Linked DNA regions of Danio rerio. The protein of the gene in region 2 interacts with the protein of the main gene of each other region in a biochemical or structural test. Links are inferred from orthologs where the notes say so. Each region holds a gene or a part of one and is shown on either strand. Other genes may lie near its edges. The genes, in order: arhgap32b and crk.

Evidence for each region.
Region 1: the proteins of crk (region 2) and arhgap32b form a complex in vitro, tested with the Homo sapiens proteins (2 studies listed by BioGRID and IntAct, with this or other methods). The link is inferred for Danio rerio from reciprocal best matches to the Homo sapiens genes CRK and ARHGAP32.

What each region holds. Positions count from the first base shown.
Region 1 is NC_133196.1:26,121,785-26,126,221, forward strand, and holds the start of arhgap32b (rho GTPase-activating protein 32), read right to left. Parts: upstream 2,818-4,437; 5' UTR 2,321-2,817; intron 1-2,320. UniProt on the Homo sapiens protein: GTPase-activating protein (GAP) promoting GTP hydrolysis on RHOA, CDC42 and RAC1 small GTPases. May be involved in the differentiation of neuronal cells during the formation of neurite extensions.
Region 2 is NC_133190.1:27,216,766-27,221,340, forward strand, and holds the start of crk (adapter molecule crk), read left to right. Parts: upstream 1-1,475; 5' UTR 1,476-1,778; coding exon 1,779-1,998; intron 1,999-3,095; coding exon 3,096-3,673; intron 3,674-4,575. UniProt on the Homo sapiens protein: Involved in cell branching and adhesion mediated by BCAR1-CRK-RAPGEF1 signaling and activation of RAP1.

The DNA.
Region 1 (4,437 bases), on a different chromosome or scaffold from region 2:
TATCATCCCAACCGTAATACGTACATAGCAGAGCTTGCAAACTGTGTTTTTTTTTTTTTGTCGACAAAACGAACGTTGTCAACATAAGTAACTGGAATAAGTAACTTCATTGAAAGAGGAGAGGGTTTAAGCTCTGTCGACGGGTCTCCTGCGTTTGCAGTTTAACAAGCACTTCAACAAGCATGTTTTTTTTCTCGCTTGGCAAGCCAAGCTAACGTGACATGGGGGTGTGGCAGCAGCATCGACGATTCTATTTTTTGATTCGATAATCGAAATTAAGCATAAATTTCAATCGATTTCGATTAAAAATCGAAATCGGGACACCCCTAACACACACACACTCATACACTACGGACAATTTAGCCTACCAAATTCACCTGTACCGCATGTCTTTGGACTGTGGGGGAAACCGGAGCACCTGGAGGAAACCCACGCGAACGCAGGGAGAGCATGCAAACTCTACACAGAAACACCAACTGAGCCGAGGATCGAACCAGCGACCCAGCGACCTTCTTGCTGTGAGGCTACCCCCTGCGCCACTGCGTCACCCACTATCAAACATTTATCAGTCAAAAATATATTATACTAGGCCTGGGTGATAAAATCGGTATTAAAATGTATTGACCGAACACCATTGTCAATATTAATTAAAAAAGTTTTATCAGTATTGATAAAAACTTCAGTCGTTGTTAGGTTACTCTTTCAAATCTGAAAGCATTAACAACTAATATCGAAATATATATAATTATCGTTCAATATGGACAATAATTACCAAGATTGCATTTTTGCCATATCGCCCAGCCCTAATTATATTAGTAATCAAAACAATATTATGTCAAAAATGTTTTATAGAATAAACAATCATCTTAAACAATGTTCTGCACAGGTCTAAACGTGTATTTTTATCAATTTGGCGCTCATGAAAAGCTGAGCTTCTATAAAGTAGTCAAAACACTCCCAGAAATTCATACACACAAACCAGCAACATTACAAATATGACAAGAAAATCAAGACACTTACAAGGGTATTCTCTTTTTATGGTCATATTTTATGACATTATGTCCTGTTTTCAGTTCACAATGTCTTTGGTCTGTGCTGCATTCATCTCAGTCCATTTGTTTGATATAAACACTAAGGTTGAGATGGCACTGTTCACACATAAAAGCATCTGGAGAGATTTGATGTAGTTCATTGTAGATTTGCTGTCAGTGAGGCAGCTCAAAAATAAAACTCAAGAAAGACTAATATAGGTTAGCTTTATGCATATACACAGTGCTGTAATTCTATCACCAAAATCAATATTTTGAGCACAGCCCAAGAGCACAGAGCTCCAATATGCAGAAAGATGCTTCCAGCTGACTCTATAGGCTTAATGTCAGGTCTGGAAATCTTTCAGAGACTTTAATATAATTTCAGTCACGTCATTATTTTTCTACAGTGAAGTGGCCACAAAGAGAGCATTTTTAATATCTAACCAAACTATTGGCTTTAGATCAAAACATTGATTTGTGATGGCAAATCCCTTCAAAATTAAAGAGAGAGCAAGAACTGAGCTATTTTTTATTTGTCTATAGTTTAAACAGAGGGTGGTGTGACGAGAATAATTGGCTTGTCAAATAAAGATTAATTTAGGATAAAGCTTTCCATTACAACATATTTATATGCCGTTTCTGAGACAGAAATAAATGTTGCTTTTTCAAATTGGATTTTAGAGGAAAATATAAAACGTGTAAGAAAATATTATTAAAAATTGTAGCTGGATCACCGTCATTTTAGCTGTTCTAGACTCCTAAAAAACTGAAAAAACAAGTCCAGAACAAAGAAAACAGTGCAAGTAAGACCTGAATTGTATGTATTCTCTTCGTAATCTTCGAAATTAAATCGGCGTCTAAATCCATTTGAAACACAAAACATACCATCTTTATAAAGGGTAATTCGTTTTTGACTCCGATTCTTTATCTCATCGTCGACTATTTAACGATAACAAGTAGAGACAGCTACTAAGTTTATGCACCCGTAAAAAGTAGGCTACAGAATAAACAGTCTACCACCTACAGTCTGGTATATTCTATCACAGACAGAACATTATAATCGATTCAAACGCCCCAGGCACACTGGTTTATTAAAATAAATAAATCAAACGGAAGAAAATGCAATTCATACACAATAAAATTCCATTTAGCAGAGTTTATTATAGGGGAGCACGCGAGTGCACGCGCGCGCACACATTCAATTCACTCCACTTTCACCGCTCGCTCAACCGTTTCACTCACAAGTTATGAATAAATATAAAGGTAATATGCTATGTTGATGCACTTACCGATGGTAGAAAGCTGTAAATCACCGAGTAGATGAATATCAGGGTGTCCGTATGGCTCAGCACCGCTCTCTCCAGTGATCCTCCTCGAAGACGACAACGAGCCAGCCGAGAAACCCGGTGCCAGAGAGTCGCATCGTGAAATTAACAGAATTAAATGAAAACGGCCAAAAAGTACACACCGGACAGAAGTGTGCTGAAGAAAACTGCACCTCTGAAGAACGAAATAATGAAGGTTCATTAAAATCTCCTTTTGGGGAAGGGGTTTGCCGAGCTAGCTTCGCAGCTATGCTACAACCAACCAGCTGTTCGCGCGGCGTTCCTGTTTAAACTTTAAAAATATATGACTGAAAATGAGACTAAACCTGTCCCGTATCTGCCGTCCATTTCAGTATTTGGTCATACATGTAGAGAGGTGTGTTGTCCTGTAGGCTGAGCCACACGTACAGCCACGGGAGACTTCGGTTCAACATTCAAAAGCGTGACCGCGCAGTGGTGCTCCATGCGCGTCACCGTGACCACATAAGCGCGATTGGCGCAGAAGTCTAGATCAATTTTACCGGAGCTCACGCACTGTGTCGTTTAATAGTTACCGTTATGTGGTAATTTCTTGTTAGTGCTTGTTGTATTTCTTTTGTTTAGATCATGAATTGTCGAACTGTACTCGTTCTCTTACACAGACACCAGAGCAGACGGTCTGCTTTTATATGAATTATGCAAAACGTCACATTAACCCATAGTGCAATATAAGGAGGCAGCACAGATCCTAACTTCATGACCTGAGGAAAGTCGAAAGCAAAAAAATATTTTATAAATAATATAAAATCTAGCTTTCAATTTAATGAATGAATGGATTGTGACGACAGCAGAATGCTTCAGAACTGATCTTCAGCTCCATCTATTGAACTGCTGTCACCACAGGCACAAAATGCTGAGGAATAACCGTGTTTTTGCTGTATTGGTTTGTCTGGTGTCCTACTTAAAGTGAATGTTTTAAACGAATATAATATATTGAGACATATCTGGAATTGTAAAAAGTATAATAATAAGACTAAACAAGACTAAAGCAAAAATATTAACTTAAAATTATATAGATAGATAAAATAGAGAGAGAGAGAGAGAGAGAGAGAGAGAGAGAGAGAGAGAGAGAGAGAGAGAGAGAGAGATTTTTTAGATTTTTCAAAAAAAACTGTCTGTGTCGGGACACTGTAGAAAATACTTGGTTAAGCACAATTTCTTTGTGTTGTTCCAACAGAAATCAATTAAGTTAAACTGTTTTTACAAATTTAAGTGGACTAAACATAGAACAATTAAGTTGCACCCTCAAACATATCAAGAATTGTGTTGTTTTAGCTCATTTTAAAAAATAATTTAAACAAGAAGCAAAAAGCTTTTTTTGAGTTTAGTAAATGTCATTAATTTAACAATTCTGTGATTAAGTTAAGCTAACTTTTAGGGTTGCACGGTTTACCGGTACCATGGTAGTATCGTGATACAATGGCTCTAAAATACTGGCAATGCCACTCTAGTTTGTAAATGGTAGTATCATCATTAATGGTCTAATGGACAATACGTTGCATGTGAAAAAGTAACTAAATTGCTCACACGTTTGTGCAACAATTGACAATTTTATTTGAATAGTCTGTAGAGCATCTTATAGTTGCAAACTGTAGAATTCACGCCTTTTATGGTAGCCTACTGCACGTTTTCTGATGCTTCAGTTTGAATCTGAATCAGTTCATTTCTGCTCCTGTCAATAGGATTTAGTAGTTGCAACAATCGCGACAATCTCGATTCTTATCTGATAAGAAAAAGATCTAATAAGAAAATACAGGAAACATTGAAACAATTATGACCACTTCATAAAGTCTAATTTGGTTGGCAAAAGGCTCTTTTTGTAACAAATTTAATTTGGTATATTTTGTATCTTTATTTTAATGTATGTTTTGTTGGTCAGTTATCTACAAAATAAACAAAAAGAATCAGCACATTTTAGGTGAAGTGATGTGCAAATACTTTTTTCGATAATAAGGGAATCATTAGTTCAATTCAAGTAGGTCTATTATAACATAAAATATAGTATCTCTGACAATTTTCTTTATTTCTTGGATTTGAGTTAT
Region 2 (4,575 bases):
AATTACAGTGTATTGATTAGATTTGTCTTCATGAAAATTAGACATTTTAAAATTAGATTTGTCTTAATTAATTACCCATTATTTTGAATTCACTTAAGTGAAAATACTATAGTGCGTTAACATCATCATAATAGCTTATAGCAGTAGTCTCAAACTCAATTCTGGAGGGCCACAGCTCTGCATAGTTTAGCTTTATCCACCTCCAACTCACACCTGCTTCATAGTCACTGGTAGTCTTGAACACCTTGATTGGTTGAATCAGCTGTGTTTGATTAGGGTTGGAGCAAAACTATGCAGAGTGGTGGCCATCCAGGATTCCAGTTTGAGAACTATGGCTTATATGATCAGTGTTTTTCTAAGCTCCATCTTCAAATTACGGTTTATTAGCCTACATGAATGGTTTAGTAGCCTTTGTAAAGGTGACCAATATGTTTCAATTTATCATGTCATTTCATGGTCAACAGGTAGCCTCAAAATCTCCTGCTGTGTTTCAAAGCCATATCTTTTAGTCAAGTTGTGCCATTACGGAATATATATCGATAAAAGTGCACTGAAGAGCTGTGAACAATGACTTGGTCAGTATTTCTGTACTCCCACAATGATTAATGAACCAAGGGAAATGCAAGGAATGACAAACCGGAACAGCAATATGTGTATGATTATTTGTAAACAAATAAAAATGTATTTGACTGTTGTTGGTATCAAAACCAATAAACCTTTAACAAATATACACTTCATTTATGCGTTACGCGACGAATAATGTTGGTCGTCAATATGTTTGATTAGACCATTTGAGAGCTGAATTGTAACTGGGTGAGACTGGTAGAAAGACTACAAACTATTAGTAATCGATGTCGACATCTAGTGGTTGCTAATTTTGTGGACTCGCTTGTAAAGGACAGTGTTTACGCACTTCCGTTTTTTTTTTTTTTTGTAATAATTTACAGCACTTTCGACCTTTAAATAAATTAGCGAATATGGTTGATGAAAATCATATTTAACTTATGTTTTAAAGGGATGTCTAATTTGTTAAATTTAGTAGACTAACTGTTAGACCACTTACACTATGTTTGTTTGCTCAGGTAATTTCGGGGTCAGCCCGCTTGGACTGGTTAACAACCTGTTTGGACCAGCCACTTGAACCTCTCACTAGAATTTAACAAAACTGTTATGTTTAGCGGAATTTGGGTTAATACAAAGATTAATGCGATGCAAATTGATCAGTATAACTAATGTAAATTCAGAAGTTATAATTGTGTTCATATGAACAATTCCGAAATACGATTACATAAATTAAAAATAAAAAAAACGGTTGGTGTTAAAAAAAGATTGAAACTCCATAATGATACAAGATAAGGCCTTACTTTCAATATTGACCGCACCAATATGACCACCAACAGACACCATCCGCGTCGGCGGCTATTGCATCACTTCCGGGAAATAAGGTCAAAAATTGTTTCCCTTGTCCGCCATTTGAAATATTTGAACTTCCTTGTGACAACTTCCAATGTACGTTTTGGTTTACACTGGACAATTATCAGAAGTTCTGGGTGAATAGCCGCGGTTTTTGCGTCCCATGCACGTTGGAATACCGACGTCAATTGTTTTGTTAATCGATTGGGCCAAAAAGCGTTGAAAAGTGTGCGAATGCTGCGCGTATTCGAAACGTGTTCAACAACGGAACGCGGTAAAGTTTTTGCATGAGTTGAACGCTGCTTGCGGATAAGGAGAGGCGAAGGGAAGGCCTGTGAAGCCTGGGCTTTTTTCTAGCGCTAGTCATGGCCGGAAATTTTGATTCGGAGGACCGAGGGAGCTGGTATTGGGGGAGATTAAGCCGGCAAGAGGCGGTTTCGCTGCTCCAAGGGCAGAGGCATGGAGTGTTCCTGGTGCGGGACTCGATCACTATTCCCGGGGACTACGTGCTGTCTGTGTCGGAGAACTCCAAAGTCTCTCATTACATAATAAACAGCATCAGCAGCAATCGCCAGTCAGGACCAGGTAAGCGTTTGAACAAATGTATTTAAATACTATTAACGACAGGACGGATAAATACTGCTTTAGCAAAGCGCTTAGCAGCTCGATGAAACTTCTATACTACGAATAGTTGTGCATATTCAGTCTAAAATCTCGCGTCATTCTGGGGTGCTGTGTAACCAGGGGTTCGGTCTTGTACACTACGGGCCCCAAATATCATTCTCGGGTGTAAAATGATTTGTATGCTTTCGTGTATGATGCCAGATTTGTTATGTGAAAATTGTATACAAATTCGTTTTATAATATAATATAGGAAACGTTTAGTTGCAATATGTGTCATTATTTAACATAGTTGTTCAATTGTTCACACGTTAGCAGATTCTTTGAAGTATCTTTATTTTATCTACTTACATTTTGCTTCGTTTGAATCGTGTCTTATAATTTTGTGTTCTTGGTTTGTTTATTTGTTTGTTTATATTAATTTGTGCATATTTATCTTGACTAAATGCTCGTTTATTTCAGTTTCACCCTTATTTTAAAACCGCTGCTTCATTACATTCTTACTCCGACATACATGTCTCACCTTATCAACTTTTTATATAACAAATACAATCTTATTAGTTATGTGTCTGTCATTCATTTGAATTACACGCATTATTATAGGTCATGTCAATCACTTATAACATAAACTCACTTTTTTTGTTTGCAGAAATGATCAGCAATATTTAATTTCCAATCTTTTTTGCTGCTTTTCCCATAGGTTGAACCCATAAAATGTTACATTGTTATACTATGTAGTTTTTGCAACACTTATCAGATTTTCATGGATTAGAGAGAGTTCAGTTTAAATGTACACCCCGATAAAAGTTCTAAACCTATATTAGTTTCTCTTTTCTGTTGAACACAAAAGAAGATATTTTGAAGAATGTTGTAATTAAGTAGCCATTTACACCTCCATATTAGAAATAAAATGCCTACCAAATTCCTATGTTCAGTAACTTTTTTTCGTGTTAACATTATGATGAGTAATTGTGAAAAAATTGAATTTTTTGCTGAGCTACCCCTTTAAATTTAAGCAGATCTTGATTATCCATCCATCATCTCATAATGTCATCCCGCAGGGCTTGCTCCTCCTCGGTTCCGGATTGGAGATCAGGAATTTGATGCCTTACCTGCCCTGTTGGAGTTCTACAAAATCCACTACCTGGACACCACCACTCTCATTGAGCCCATTAGCAAATCCAAGCACTCGTCTTTCATCAGCGTCAATGCGGGGACAGGAGGAGCTCCTCCGAGGCTAGAAGAGGAGTACGTCAGAGCTCTCTTCGACTTTCCCGGCAACGACGACGAGGACCTTCCATTTCGAAAGGGTGATGTTCTTCGAGTGCTGGAGAAGCCAGAGGAGCAATGGTGGAATGCTCAGAATTCAGAAGGCCGTGTTGGCATGATCCCTGTGCCCTATGTGGAGAAGTACCGACCTGCCTCACCGACATCAGGTGCACCTGGCGTATCAGTCAGTGGGTCCGGTGCTCACGGCAACTCTGACGGCCACAGCACTCAGTCTCCACCTCTGCTTGGTGAACCGGGCCAATACGCCCAGCCCACATCCTTACCCAATCTACAGAATGGCCCAGTTTATGCCAGGGCGATTCAGAAGAGAGTCCCCAATGCCTATGATAAGACAGCTCTTGCTTTGGAGGTAACAAATGTAAACTTTTCTGAGATATTAATAAATATAAAAATGAAAATATTGCATCATTTATGAACCTTCAAGTTATTCTAGATGTATCCAGTAGTCAGCATTTGAAGTGGATCAAAACCTTCCATCTTAAGTTGTACTAAAATAGTCCTATTTAACAACATCCATTCTTGCCATGATTGTCAGAACTTTATTTGATCTACTTTAAATGTGGACTACTATATGTCCTATTCCTGACAAACACTAATGTGACTTAGCTTTGAATTGCAAGTAAATGTACACAATGTTTGCTTCAAAAAAGCACATTAATGTGTTATAAGTCATTCATACTGCTCAGTGGGTTATTTAATATTTTCTGAAGCAAAGTGTTAAGTTTTTGAAAGAAAAAAAATGCTTATTTAAAAGATTATAAGCTCATATAAACTGGAGCTGCACAATTATTTAAACACAATGTTCATGCACGTCGTTTTGTGAGTAAAAGCCAGCTCTGTGGTCAGTAGTATATCTCCAGCTTTCAAATGGAGCACCATTTACTAGTTACTCATAGTTCATGATCTGTTTGGTAAATGCAGCTACATCTAAAATCAAATAAAGATACCACATTTAACATGTTTTAACTTCCAATTTGTCTTTGAGATAATGTGGCTATTTCTGTTCAATAACTTTGTGTTCACACCAAAGGCGCAAGAGCATCAGAGTTCTCTCTGGCTTTCACAGTTCCAGCGGCGAGAGCGTCAAAAATCGATACATTAACCCCGTATTTAAAGGAGCCGTTGCAGCATATCAGCAAATTAGTTACGTTCCCACATAAAAATGTGTATTTTAGTAAGAAAATGTTGCGCAGCTTTTTAGTAAATTCATTTAACTACAGAAGATCCAGTTGTTGTATGTGCAGTGGCTTT